2 linked regions of the Pelodiscus sinensis genome follow. The protein of the gene in region 1 interacts with the protein of each later gene in a pairwise test. Links are inferred from orthologs where the notes say so. Each region holds a gene or a part of one and is shown in the gene's direction. Other genes may lie near its edges.

Evidence for each region.
Region 2: the proteins of TRIM69 (region 1) and SF3A3 interact in binary tests that used the Homo sapiens proteins (3 or more experiments, as listed by UniProt). The two-hybrid records come from large-scale screens. The link is inferred for Pelodiscus sinensis from reciprocal best matches to the Homo sapiens genes TRIM69 and SF3A3.

Annotation. Positions count from the first base shown.
Region 1 is NC_134724.1:36,833,799-36,841,051, forward strand, and holds the start of TRIM69 (E3 ubiquitin-protein ligase TRIM69), read left to right. Parts: upstream 1-4,231; 5' UTR 4,232-6,747; intron 6,748-7,253. Other genes in the region: B2M (beta-2-microglobulin), read left to right, coding at 1-269, 2,431-2,444.
Region 2 is NC_134735.1:10,736,946-10,743,794, reverse strand, and holds the start of SF3A3 (splicing factor 3A subunit 3), read left to right. Parts: upstream 1-3,835; 5' UTR 3,836-3,845; intron 3,846-3,885; 5' UTR 3,886-3,909; coding exon 3,910-4,005; intron 4,006-4,442; coding exon 4,443-4,490; intron 4,491-5,673; coding exon 5,674-5,726; intron 5,727-6,849. UniProt on the Homo sapiens protein: Component of the 17S U2 SnRNP complex of the spliceosome, a large ribonucleoprotein complex that removes introns from transcribed pre-mRNAs.

The DNA of each region.
Region 1 (7,253 bases):
AGTCCATGTGTACTCCCGCCACCCAGCCGAGAATGGCAAGTCAAATGTCCTGAACTGCTACGTGGAAGGATTCCACCCTCCCAACATTCACATCAAGCTGCTGAAGAATGACAAGGAGATGGATGGAGTGGAAATGTCCGACCTTTCCTTCAATGACGACTGGACTTTCCAGCGCTTGGTGCATGTCCCATTCACTCCTAATGGGAATGATAGATATGAATGCCATGTGGAGCATTCCGCTCTTCAGACTCCTAAGAAAGTCAGATGGGGTGAGTATTTCACTGTATCTATTTTGTTCACATCCTCTGTCAGGAATTGCACATGGGATTTGGATTCTCTTGCTCCTGAGATCCTGCAGCCAAACTGTCCTGTTCATTGTATGGTTTAGGTGGGTTGGGCTTTAGGGAGCCCTTCAGGGTCCAGGGCAGCCAAGTCATGCTTCTTCACGGCAACGGGAAGTGGCAGTAACCTTCTCTGCTCCCCAAGCTGCAGGGCTGGGAGCTAGGCTGAAGGAGCACACTGGAGCGGGCTGGGGCCAGGTCACTCTGCTTCCTGCCACTGGCTTGAGTGCTGGGGGAGCGGGTGACCCCTGCTGCTGGTGCTAGCCCCTCTCTTCTCCCCCCCCCCACCATCTGGCTATCACCCCAAGCTCTCTCGCCTGAGTAAGGGGTGCAGTGGGTGGGGGCAGGACCTGCATGGGAAAAGGTGGGGCCTGGGTGGAGGGGGTGGCAGTCCCAGTGACCACACACCCCTAGGGATAGTCCAGTCCTACACTTGTCAGAGAAAGCAGGTAGTCTGTTTAGTCACAAATCTGGTGTATCCTAGGGTTGTTGGAGATCGTGCAATTGAACAGCCGTGTAACTGCATGAAATCTTAGGGGTTACACAACTATTGATGGTTGCTGGGGGTGGGGCTGGCAGCCAGTGTGCTTGTCATCTGGCGGCTGCTCCTTCTGTATCAGAAAACAGCACAAGGTGGCAGGTGAGACTGCTGAGCCAGCAGTTATGGAGAGCCTGCTTGAAAGCTGGCTCCCTGGGCGAATGGCTCCAGCCTGCTTACCTCACCCTCAGTACTGCTACCTCTCAATCAGAGGCAACTGCGCGGAGGGGAGGGGCAGGCAGGAGAGTCCAGTGGTTGTGTGGCGCTTTATTGAAACCAGCTCCCTGAGGGCACTGGCTCCTGCCTCCCCCGTCCCCCGGGTACAGGGAAGGGGTGAATGTAGTTGACAGTGCTTATCGGTTAATCGTATAGTCAACTACACATTGACATCCCTAGTGTCCCCCTCCCCCGTCGTTTTAAAATGTAATGTAATAGGGTGCGTTCCCCAAGTCTCGTCTCTGGGCACCTTTGGCCACCGGGCTCCAGTGGAACAGTCTCTAACTGCTAAAGAGAATGTGTACATTTAATACAATATATTGGAACATCAAGTAGCAGTGGAGGAAATGAGAGTAACTTGTAGAATTATTGGAGGTGCTGCTGCCAGGTCTGTAGAGGTACAGTAGTGCCGCTGTAGGGTTTCCCATGTAGGCGCTGTCCTGCTAACAAAACTAAACGACCCACGGTGAGCAGCATTAGCTATGTGAGCAACAGAGCCTCTCCTGTCTGTGATGGGTCGAATCACAAAAGTCCCCTTGAGTCTGCCGCCCAATATGCTGATCATACCACTGAGCCTGCCTACCTGCCCTCTATGGGACCCCAAGCCCCTGTATGGCTTTACCAGAAGCTTTGGTCTCCCCAAGCCAAGGCACAGAGTTGGGGTAACAGTCCCTGTGGAGAGCAGTATAGTCACTGAACCAGCTCACCTATAGCACTTTGGCAGCATCCAGGAGCACAGCACTCAGATGGTACTTAAACCCCCAAATAAATCTGCTTACTCTGTAGAAGCTTTACACAAGGAGCCTTATCAGTGAATGAGATGCATATCTCTGGCTCCCCCCTCCTCTGACAAGTTTACACTGGGCTTGATGATAAACACTTTTTTTACCAAGTATAAAAAGTAGGAATTAAGTGGTTGCAAGTGAAAACAGACAGATCAAAATATGTCACTAAGCTAAAATAAGCAGAACATGCCAGCTAACCCTAATACACAAAGAGGTCATTGCAGATCATAATTTTCACCCTCTTTATCTCAGATGCAATTCTTCACAAGCCAGAGTTGGTCTTTTGCTGGCTTGGGTCTAACAGCCACTTCTGTATCCTCCTGGGTAGGAAGGCAGTTTCAAAGGCCAGCTGAAGACCATTGATTGCTACCTTTTCCTTACTTTCCTGGTGTGGGAATCCTTTCTTTCTTTATTTCTCCGTCTGGCTGCTGGAGTGATAAGACCTCTCCCAGCGCTGCATTAGAATAGTTATGATTGGTAGGAGTGCTATTTGTGCAGCACAGCCTTGTCTTAGAAGTGGACTCTTAACATCCTTTGTCCTCTCTTGCAGACCCTGATAATTAACCTGCATCTTAGACGTATATGGTAAGTTTTGCATATTTAATTTGTTGCTCTCCAACTGATTTTGGCACTGGACTGATACGTGAGCTGAAGTTCAGGGATAGAAAGAAAACTTGCGCCACACTGAGGCAGAAAGGTAGAGAGGAGGAACAGGCAGCTCTATCTGTAGCTTAAGTGGTAGTTTAGAATTGTGGGTGGCCTATTATTCCATTTCTTAGCACTTGTAACAATATCATGCCCTTATGGAGACTTTTCATAAAGCTTATGACTTCACTTGACCCTTGGGAAGAAGGGTTCATTGTACAGTCACCAGACTGCCTGGTGTTTTTTCTTGGTGGATGTGGAGAGGTGGATTTGCCATTTGGCAGTCTTTATGGTCTAGCTGTGCCTCCTGAGAGGCTGGCTAATAGTGTATTAGGGTTAGAGGGACAGAAGTCACTGTAAGGCATCCTTTGTGTGTCTGCAGGCAGTCTCTTGCCTGGCAGTGCTGAAGCAACTTAGTGTTAGTAAATGGCTACAAATGGCTTTATGTGCAGCACCAGCAAATGCAGTGCACCCAGTGAGCAGGTAAGGGGTGAAGCTTCCGTTGTGGTGCTTGAACTATTTCAAAAGCTTTGGCATAGAATAGAATAACCCTTTGCAGGTGCAGCTGCCCTTGGGATCTAAAGCCTAGAGCTGCTGGGATTTGCACTGGTTTGCGGCTGGGATCTTGGAGCCAGGTTCTCCCTTAGCTTATGTTACAATAAAGAATAGGCATTTTTTAAATTAATAATCTTCCCTGCCCCTCCTCCTTTTCAGGTCTGAGGAACTCTGCCTTGCAATATGAAAAGCGCTTACACCCGATCTGTTTTCCTGCGTGCTCTTCACACCCCACTCTCACTTTGTACTGGAGCTGAATGTTTTAGCTTTATGATGATTTGTCTGGGAGTGAGATGTGGAGTTAAAAACTTTAGTGTGAAATGTTAGATGTGGGTCTGAAGCTCAGACTCATGAGCTGGCCTTGCACCCACATTCTCAGTGCTTTCTGCTGGGGGGAGGGGGGAAGGGGAGGGAACCTTTGTGTTATCTGATGGACATGCTATAGAATCATAGTATTTACACATATAAACCAATCTTGTGTTGGGCAGTCTGGCAGCTGTGCTGCAGCCACTTTAAACTGGCAGTTATAAAGGAAATTGTAAATGTGGCTCAGCCTTAAGCAAGATCCATGGGTCTTGTAATCCGCCCATGGTGTGCTCATGATATTAATCAAGAATTTGAATTGCAAAATTGGAAGATTTTTGTCTTTCCTGTAGCGTCAGAATATAAGAGCCCTAACAAGGTCCCTGGAGGCAGCAACAGTCCTAGCCAGTTATGGAGTATTGAGGTCTACCAGGGTCTGGGTGCAGCATGTTGCCAGAGGCATTTGGGGGGGCAATAATGACACTTTCAAGAACTCTTGGCTACAGCATTCCTTTTTACAAATGCCAATCAATAAAACTATTGCCAGTTGCATACACTGATTTATTGCGTTAAGTCTAAATTTTGTGGACAACCTAGTCCTAGATGGATCTGTTCTGCTAATTGAAGAGTGTAACGCTTTGTATGGTTCTTAATTGTATATAATGATACTTTAATGATACTTAAATATATTTTAAAACAATCAATCCTGTGGAAGTTGTGGTTTCTGAAAATGGAGAGGGCATTTCTTGCCTCACATTGAGTACAGCAGGGGGTGTGGAGTATCTATTAATGGCCTTGCTGTAAGCGGGACTGCTCAAATCTGTTTCCCCTTGCTGGTAAAGGTAAAAGTAGGCAGTTTTGTTCCTAATCCATATACTCAGTGAGTTCTGAGACTTCCCTTCAAGTCCTGTGTAGCTCTGCTCAAAGTACAAATCCTTTGCTTTTCCCTCTGAACCAACTGTGTTTGAAGGCAAATGCTCTGTTTGACCGATGAACCACACTGAATGAAGTGATAGACAAGAATGGTCTCTGAAGTCAGTGTGTGTGAAGTGGAATTCCTGGGGGGTGAATGGAAATGCCATCTGAAGGTTGGGCTTAAAAAAAAAAAACATTGACTTTATGCCCTGAGGAGGGGGTACCATTGTCCCTGGATTATCTGACCCTGAAGGCTGGACCTCAGACCCAAGCTGTGCAAAACAGGGTGATCTGGGTTAAGGTTCATAATAGCCTCAGCTGGGAGGGACTGCAACTGAAGCCTTGTGGGGGGTGGGGGGACACAGCAAGGTAGGGTGGATCTCCAGTTTTCCTACCATACATGTAGGTTCTTTTATTTGTTCTGTAGTGCTCATACCTTAAGACTAAATGTGCTTGCTTAGAATGTGCTGTGGTAACTTCACTGGACATGTAACTACTTGATCACCTGAGGAGAGCGCAAGCACCAGCACCAACTTTTTTGAAATAGTCTGTCTTGCTGAGGAAGGAACTGTGCAGCCTGGAAAACCCCTTCTTGGGAGGGGAAGAATTGCTTGTAGACTTTTCTGGCACTTTGAGCCTTGCTGGGTGAAGAACACAACTCCTTTAGCATTTAATTAAAAAAGAATCTGAAATGACAAGCTTCCATGCATAAGCTTACATTAAGGTCTGTACTGATTTGGTCTTTCAAAATAGCAAAATATTTAAACAGCTGGGAAAAATGAAACTAGATGGGTGAAGTTCAGTTTCTCTAAGTTTCATTCAAGTTTCACAAAACTGCCTCTTGCTTGAAGAGATCCTGCTCCTTTGCAAGTTACCTGCCAACTTAGGTGTTCTCACAAGTGTACTTGTGCTGTAGAAAGGCAGGATGATCCAAGGTTCCTTTCACCTGAAATTGACAGAGCAGTTGGCAGCAAAAACTTGACTGGAATCCACTTCTGAATTGTTCTCTGGAGTTCAGGTATGTCAAGAAACAAGCTGAAAGGAATGGTGCACAAACAGAAGTTCTAGCTCCACCAGAACTCTTGGCTTGAAGGGGAAATCACTGGGTGAACTGTACCTGTTATGATTATGGAAGTGTCTTAAAGAGCAAGTGTCCAATATAGAACTACTTGGAGGCCAGGTTGGAGCCCAGGATTCATAGGCAACTTCTTATCTTTCTTCCCCCCCCCCCCCCCCCCCCCCAAGGTTCTGTGCTGAAATACAGGGTTTGCTCAGAGGTTCTCTAATTACACAGCTTTAACCGCAGGCTGTGTAATACCTCCTTTTCTAAAAACACAGGAATCAAGACAAGCTGGCATATTCTAGTTGCCTTGGAATTTATCTGTAGTTTAAAACACAAGGGTATCAAATTATTCATCCTTGCTATTTTAGGCAGTTGGAAAAGTAGAACAGAATGAGAGTAATAACTTGCTTTACTAGACAGTTTCCAATCCCTTTCCTGCATTGTTACTCATGAGTGGAAGGTGGCACTGTGTGGGTAGCAAAAACGAGGGAGCTACTAGGTCTTTACTAAAACTCTATGCTTTGGAAGGTGAAACAAAAAATCCACTGCATTGTTATTAATTATGTACTGGAAGTTCACCTTTAACCTTTATTATGCAAGTAGTAAGTATCATTACATTATTACCACTGCCTGACTCTATTGCTACAACCTACCTATTCTCCCTAGGTTCCTGTGACCTCATGGACTTGCACCAAGCAGCTAATGTTTGCACAGCACGCTTGGGGTATGTTTGTACTGCAGTGTTATTTCAGAATAGTGGATGTTCTAAAATAAAGCGCATCTACACAGCAAGCTGTTACTTGGACATAATGTCAAGCTGGAGGAGTTTTTACTCCAACACTTGTAACCCTCATCTCATGAGGAGTAAGGGATGTTGAAGGGAGAGTGTTCTTTGACTTCTTGTTGTGTAGAGCATGCTGAAATCCAAATGAAGCTGTTTCCACTTCAGCTATGGGATTGATGTAGCTGAAGTTGCGTAGCTTAATTTGACTTTTGCCCTGCTGTGTAGACATGCCCTAAGATTGTATCTACCCATTTGCTTTCTCCACTGACTAGCAGAGCTCCCAGGAGGAGTCCCAGATTCAGCAAAATTCTCCTTCTTTGACCTTTCCTCCGACCCTCCTGTCCTTGAGGGCTGCTGCCCCATAGGGCTTGACTCCCCTCCAGCACTGCAAAGGGACCCTTTCGCACAAGGTCGCAGTGGGTGGTCAGCTTTGGTCTGGCCTGCAGGTGTGTGCCCTCGGCTACATTTGAGTGCCATTGTGACCTGGTGTATGGGGGCAGTGGTCCAGAGCTGTAACCTGCGTGGTAGCTAGGCCGGGTCACAATGTCCAGGGTGGAGAGCTGAGCCTGCCAACTCCTTGGGCTAGGAGTTGCTGCTGTGGGGTGAGTATGGGGCTAGCTTCCTTGTCAGTTTCCCTCTGCCAGGGAGATAGGACCCATCCCAGGCTAACCACATGAAGTGTTGGGCAGTGTGGGCTAGTGCTGAGAGTTGTTGCCTCTGGGCTACAGAAACCTAAGCAATTGGAACGCTTTCATCCAGGACAGCTCTGCTGGGCAAGGGGCCATCCTGGGAAAACCTGGCTGGGGGAACCCTCCTCTTGCTGGTCCTGTTCTCTAGAACCTTTCCCTGCGGGGAGAGAGCTAAGTAACTGTCATTCTACTGCCCCCCCCCCCCCCCCCCCCCAACTAACTGACCTCCTCTGAGAAACCTCCCCTGTACTCCAGGCCCCTCTCTGCACACCACCGGTCTGCTTTGGAATCACACCCGGACAGCACCTGCCTCTGGCTGCCACCCTCTTGCAGCATCTGGGGAACAACCTGCCCCGTGTTGCACTTACCCACATGTAAAACCCTCCCTGTGCCGTTTCCTGGGGCGGCGCTCGCTACGG
Region 2 (6,849 bases), on another chromosome or scaffold:
TCCCACCTCTTCTCCCTCCCCCACCCCAGGGCATGTTTCAAACTGAGCCTGGCTAGTTCTCCTTACATAGAGGTTTCCAAGTGACTGCAAAGAGTTGAGCAAAATTTAAGGTAAGGTGCCAAGTGGCCCCATAAAATGATTCAGGGGCTCCACTCCCCCCCACCCCGCTGCACGTCAGGAGAATCTGACATGTGTCTGTCACAAGGTAACGCTTTTCCATGTCTGAGACAGCGGCAGAGGGCCACACACTTCGTTCTAGGTCGGCTCTGACTGGTACTCGCCTGCTCGGTCACCAGGCCAGGCCCTCCCAGCGATGCGGCACCTTTGGCGCTCCGTAACACCGAGGGCCCCAGATGAGTCACTACGCCATGGTGGTTAGCTCCCAGCTGCACCACGGGAATGGTTGAAGGGGAAAGCCTGGCCATAAATGAAGGGGAACAACAAATTGAAGGTTTGAGGGCAGCGGCTCTGAGCAGCCAAAACAAAAGACGTTTTCTTTGGAATTCAGGGCTTTTCCTGGCAGAAATTCACAGTTTTCTCGCCAATGGGACACTTGGCAGGTCAACCCCCCTTCTAACCCCCCCTTGCTACCGGGCCTCTACCCATGCCGTAGGATGAGCTCATCCCACTAAGCTGGCTAGGAGGTGGGTAGAGTCTGGGTGCCCCAGGGCAATGACCAGATGGGATTGATGTCTTGCTAGGGCACTGACAATGCAGTTTCTGGGAGCAAAAGCCTCCATCTCGGGTATCACCATGCAGAAGAGGATTCCTGTGAGAGATTCTCCAGTTCCAGGGCCCGATAGCCCCACAGCAGCACCTACCAAGTGGTCACTGCTATGGAAAAGAATCAGACCGGTGACTTCTGGGAGGCAGAGCCTAATGCTGCAAATAAGGCACAGGCCTGACCTCCCAGCTCCGCCACAGACTTCTCGTGTGGCCCTTGGCAAAGTCACTGCCCTGCCTTCACCTCCCCAGCTGTGTGAGGTGGCTAATGATCCCACGCTTCCTCACGGGAGAGGGGGGAATGTAAAGCCGTTCACGGGTCTGAGCTGTGCAGGCACCAGCTCTAAATCAGATACAGGGGGCCAATGCTGCCATCACGCCAAGAGAACCAAACCGCATCTGATGAGAGCAGCAGCTAGTTCCACCTTCAGGGGAGAGAGAGTGCACAAGCTGCTCTCCAGAAAAGCGAAAGCCTGCCATCTGCTGGACACAAGCCACAAGCCAGCCCTTGTTTTGTCCCGGGGCTCCCACAGCTCAAGAGCTTACAACGCTCACCTTCCCGTGAATGGGCTGGGAGAGACCAGAGCGTGGGTCTGCCCTACTAGTTATGTCTCCATGGCAAACAGGCAACTTCCTGCTTCTGCAGCCAGGAAAGCAGTGCTTAGTATTGAGGAGTAGAACCGGAAGGGTTTTCGGTGACATTAGTCAAGTTTTCATTCAATGCTGCTGCAAAGATCAGGGGCAATTAGTGCCTGTGGGGGAAGGGGGTATGAGGGCCACTCTGATGGGTAGGAGGCATATGGGGGCACCCCATTTAGCAATTAAAATGTTGGTGGGGGCATAGCGGGCAGTGCACCTACAATGTGCTACCTCTGGCATAGATCATTTTCCTGGCTCGCTGTGCTGTCTTGTACCTCTGTTCAGCCTCCCCTCATTTACCTTTCTTTCACTGCATTAAGTGCAAACTACCTGTCTTTACTTTCAAGGCCTTATCTGACCTATCCCATGCCTGAATTGTCATCCATAGAACAGTCATGTAATTAATACCCCCTCGCCTCATGTGCACTATCGACCCATGAAAATGGCACTTTGGGCTTTCCATCAATGCTTGTTGATCAGGCAGCGGGCTTTGCAGTGCACTCAAAGGCTTTCTTTGTGCTGTTCTTCACAGGTCAGATCTAGAGAGGAGAGGAAGAAGGCCAGAGCACCCCAAATGCTGTGCCCACAGCCCCTCCCTTTTACTGCACCGTGAACTCCAAGTGCTCAAAAGTCATGAGTCAAGGGCCAGAGCCAAATAATCATGAGATTGGCTGAAACATCATGAGATTTAAAGCAAACACTCGGTGTGTGTGAAGGGCGGACATATTTATTTATTTTCTGATTTCTAAGCCTGCAGGCCAGGCTCAGGTTATGTTGTCTGCGAAGTGGTGAGGGCTAGAAGCGTCTTTATTTTCAAGGACAGAGATGGCTATGTACACAATGTTTTACTGACCCTGCAACTATCAGCACATGCACAAAGAAATTAGAAGAGCAGGCAATGCTACTTGTAGGTAGGGGGTTCCAGCTTGGAGTAAGGGGCTGGGCTAGGCCTGTGCTGTCAACAGTGGTGACAATGGCAGCTGTCTCACACACACACACAGTGCACAATGATCACAGGCATATGTGCACCCACGCATAAGGTGCACAGGGCACTCACATAGACTGAATGTAACCCACACACCTCGTGAAGTTCACTGTCCCATGTAGTGGCATTTAGACCACTTACAGCTAGATATAAGAACAAGGGAGCTCTACAGCCACAGCTAAGTGGTAGATGGCTTTATAGCTCAAGCTGTAGAGGGTCTATACTAAACTCCAAAGAGCTCAGGTTCAAATCTGGCCCGTGGTGGTTATCAGTGGGCACTTGTCAGCAATTTCAACTGGGTCTCAAGCTCAGAATGCACTTCCTCAGCTAGGGGGGAAGTATGTAACCCACCCATCTCATGTGGTTCACTGTCTTATGTAGTGGCACTTAGACCACTTACAGCCAGAGATAAGAACAAGGGAGCTCTACAGCCTAAGCTGAGTGGCAGCTGGCTTCGTAGCTCAAGCTGTGAGAGACTCTTATAGTGACCTCCAGAGGTCCCAGATTTAAATCTGCTCGGTGGCACTTAGTGGCACTTACATACGTGCACACACAGCTGGTATTCAACCCATGCAAAGGACACACACAGAGGCATATGCACATGTAGCCCCCCACACCTACGGGGGGGGGTTCACTGTCCGACAAGGCACTGAGACCGCTTACAGAGAGAATTATGCGATCGTGTTCTACAGCCGAATCTGAGGCCAACTGGGTTTTAGCTCAAGCTGTGGACAGAGGCTCTTGCACTAAGCTGCAGAGAGGACCCCGGTTCGGTTCTGCCTCTTGGCGTTACACGTGCATGTGCGCACACAGGACATATAGGACACGTGTCTACATGCAAAGGATGCACACCCACGGGGGGCACATGCACACACACACTGCAGGGACACACGCACACGGAACACACGGAACTCTGCTGTCAGTGTCCAACGGGGGGCGCATCCCGAGGGAGGGTTTCCGGTCGGGCCGGGGACAGAGGCGCACCGGAGGGAGGGTTTCCGGTCGGGCCGGGGACAGAGGCGCACCGGAGGGAGGGTTTCCGGTCGGGCCGGGGACAGAGGCGCACCGGAGGGAGGGTTTCCGGTCGGGTTGGTGACAGGGGAGCGCACCGGAGGGAGGGTTTCCGGTCGGGTTGGTGACAGGGGAGCACCGGAGGGAGGGTTTCCGGTCGGGTTGGTGACAGGGGAGCGCACCGGAGGGAGGGTTTCCGGTCGGGTTGGTGACAGGGGAGCGCACCGGAGGGAGGGTTTCCGGTCGGGTTGGTGACAGGGGAGCACCGCAGGGAGGGTTTCCGGTCGGGCGGGGGACAGAAGCGCACCGGAGGGAGGGTTTCCGGTCGGGTTGGTGACAGGGGAGCGCACCGGAGGGAGGGTTTCCGGTCGGGTTGGTGACAGGGGAGCGCACCGGAGGGAGGGTTTCCGGTCGGGTTGGTGACAGGGGAGCACCGGAGGGAGGGTTTCCGGTCGGGTTGGTGACAGGGGAGCGCACCGGAGGGAGGGTTTCCGGTCGGGCCGGGGACAGAGGCGCACCGCAGGGAGGGTTCCGGCTGGCGCGCGGGGAAGATGGAGACGATCCTGGAGCAGCAGCGGCGCTACCATGAGGAGCGGGAGCGGCTCATGGACGTGATGGCCAAGGAGATGCTGATTAAGAAATCCACGGTGCGGGGGGGAGGGGCCCTGCTCTTCCGCCCGCGTGTCGGGCCGGCCTCAGCCCTCCCCTCCCGGAGGGGCCCCCAGCAGGGCTGGGTGCGGGGCAGTGACTGTCCTGGGGCGAGCCGGGCACCAGACAGCCCCCCACAGCGCAGCTTCCTGGCCCATGGGCCCCTGGCTCCCTGACGTGGGCCCCCGTTCACCCGTCTCTGTCCCAGGGGTGGCCCCCCTCATAATTCCCCCACCTCAGTGAAGCCGCCTCCCGTCAGAGCGCGGTGCAAGTGCAGTGCGATGCCAATGACCCACCAGCAGCCTTTGTCCCAGTGAGCGACTCCTCGCATACCCCTAGCTGACTGGGGCAGATGAAGACTGTTCTTTGCTGAACTTTCCCAGATTTGGAGTTGGGGAAAGCGTGGCTAATCTTTTTTTTCTGATCTGTCTTATAGTTACGGGACCAGATTAACTCTGATCATCGCACCCGAGCGATGCAGGACGTGAGTATCGCCTCTTCTCTTTCCCTCGCGCCTTGTTCCCTAAAGATTATGGGCTGGAGCACAGGCTGTTTCGGTGTAGTGAGTTACTTAAGCGATACATCGCAAACTGTATTTCTGGATGTGTGTAGCACAGGGGTTCTCAAACTTCATTGCTCTGCAACCTCTTTCTGACAGCAGAAGATACTATACCACCCTAGGAGAGAGACCAAAACCTGAGCCTGTCCAAGCCGCACCATCCCAGGTGGGAGTGGGGCCAAAACCCCACCGCCATGATGTTGAGGCAAAGCCCGAAGCCAAGAGCTTTTGTCCCAGGCATGGGGCCTGTAACTTGAGCCCTGCCACCTGAGCTGAAATTCTTGGTCTTTGGCTTTAGCTTCGGGCAGTGGGGTTTGAGCTTTGGCCCTGGGCCCCAGTGAGTCTAAGCGAGTCCTTGCAATCCCATTAAAATAGGGTTGGAACCCACTTTGGGGTCCTGGCCCACAGTTTGAGAATTGCTGGTATAACACATTAAGATTGCAGGGTGCAAGGTTAAAAAAAAATGGTTTTGTGTGCGGCATAGTAACTGATAGACATATGCAAGCTGATAACAGTATTTACTGGAGTTTTGCTTACCATAAAGTTCATGAGCTGAGTTTGCCTAGATTTGGTTCTATCTGCAAATTTTTAAAGTGTTTTCATATTTATACCAATATTTATTCTGCAGAGATACTTGATACTGAAGTTATAGGATTTATTTTGCACAATGCTTGATGCATCTGCATTACCTTTTACCAGAACCTGGGCACATGGAACATAAGTAATTCCATCCTGCACCCTAACTCATCAGTTTTAGCATTAAAAACATTTAGCTATATTTTAAATCAGCTGTATTATTTTCATTGCAGCTAATTTATTAAACAGCAAAACTCCACAGAAGATCATGAAATGACTTGGGTAGCGAGATATTGTATTTCCCTGAAAATACTTTCAGCTGCTAAATTTCCCTATAATGTTTCATTACCTTTCACTGAGCAGCCTTTCATTTCTTTGTCTGTTTAGCTCAAGTTTGTGGGATTGTTATTTCAAATGTAAGCAAGCTTTTGCAAGCTTCCAAGAAAGCAGCTTATTTTTCCTAACTCTGCATGTTGTGCTGAAGTGCAGCAAAAGTATATGCATAACTGTAACATGTTTTTTTGTTTTTTAGAGATATATGGAAGTGAGTGGCAATCTGAGAGACCTGTATGATGATAAGGATGGGTAAGTGTCTGCAAAAAAGATGTGAACGGGCTTTTTTAAAAGCTGAAAGATCTGCTAGCTAAACACCTTCACACAGAGTATGTCTGCAAGCACTTTAACAGCCCCTTAGCCCAAGCCCTGCATACCCAAGTCAGTTGACACAGGCCAATTGCTGGTTTTTAATTTCAGTGTAGATGTCCCTTTAGTGCTTTCAGAGCTACAGGAGAGTCTTACTGGCACTTCTTTAGGTCACATATAAAGAGAGCGATGCATTTAGAGCTATGATGATAGAAATGTAGCCCTGTTAGTCTGGTCTAGCTGAAACAAAAAACAGGACTATGTAGCACTTTAAAGACTAGCAAGATGGTTTATTAGGTGAGCAGCTTTTGTGGGCCAGACCCACTTCCTCAAATCAAATAGTGGAAGAAAATTTAGGAAAATTTTCTTCCACTATTTGATCTGAGGAAGTGGGTCTGGCCCACGAAAGCTCATCACCTAATAAACCATCTTGCTAGTCTTTAAAGTGCTACATAGTCCTGTTTTTTGTTTAATTTAGAGCTATGGCACTTGTTTAAAAAAAAAAAAAATCCCCCCCCCCCACCTTTCTCCAAAGCAAATTTAAGTTTTCTTGCAGAAGTTTTATTGCACTTGCCAGTTTTTAACATGAGAGTAAAAGTCTAATGCTGGAAACAAATCCCTGACCAGACATTATTAGTAGGCGTCTTGACATAACTTCATCAGTGCCATAGAGCAACATGTCGTTGCAAAGCTGTCACTGACATAAGATTTGCCAGCAAAGTACTGTTTGATCCAAAGTGTGTGGGAGTAGGAAGGGGAGGGAAAGAATAAATCTGCCATAAATCTAGCCCTTCTAAAATATCATGTTGGAGAAAAAATCACGACTGAAATGGTCCATCAAATAAGATGCAGTTAGGGCTGAGTTATCTGCACTCCCATTTGTAGGTGTAATGACCTTTAAGAGGGGGGAACCAACAAAAACAACTGAATGTGCCAATTGCAGTGTTTCCCTTCTGGTTCATACTAAGACCTATACACGGTTAAAGATTCCTGCAAATCCCATTTAACTTGCTGTGTGTTGCTTCTTCAGTAGAATAAGGGACAAGAAGGGGTGTTGCTGATTCTG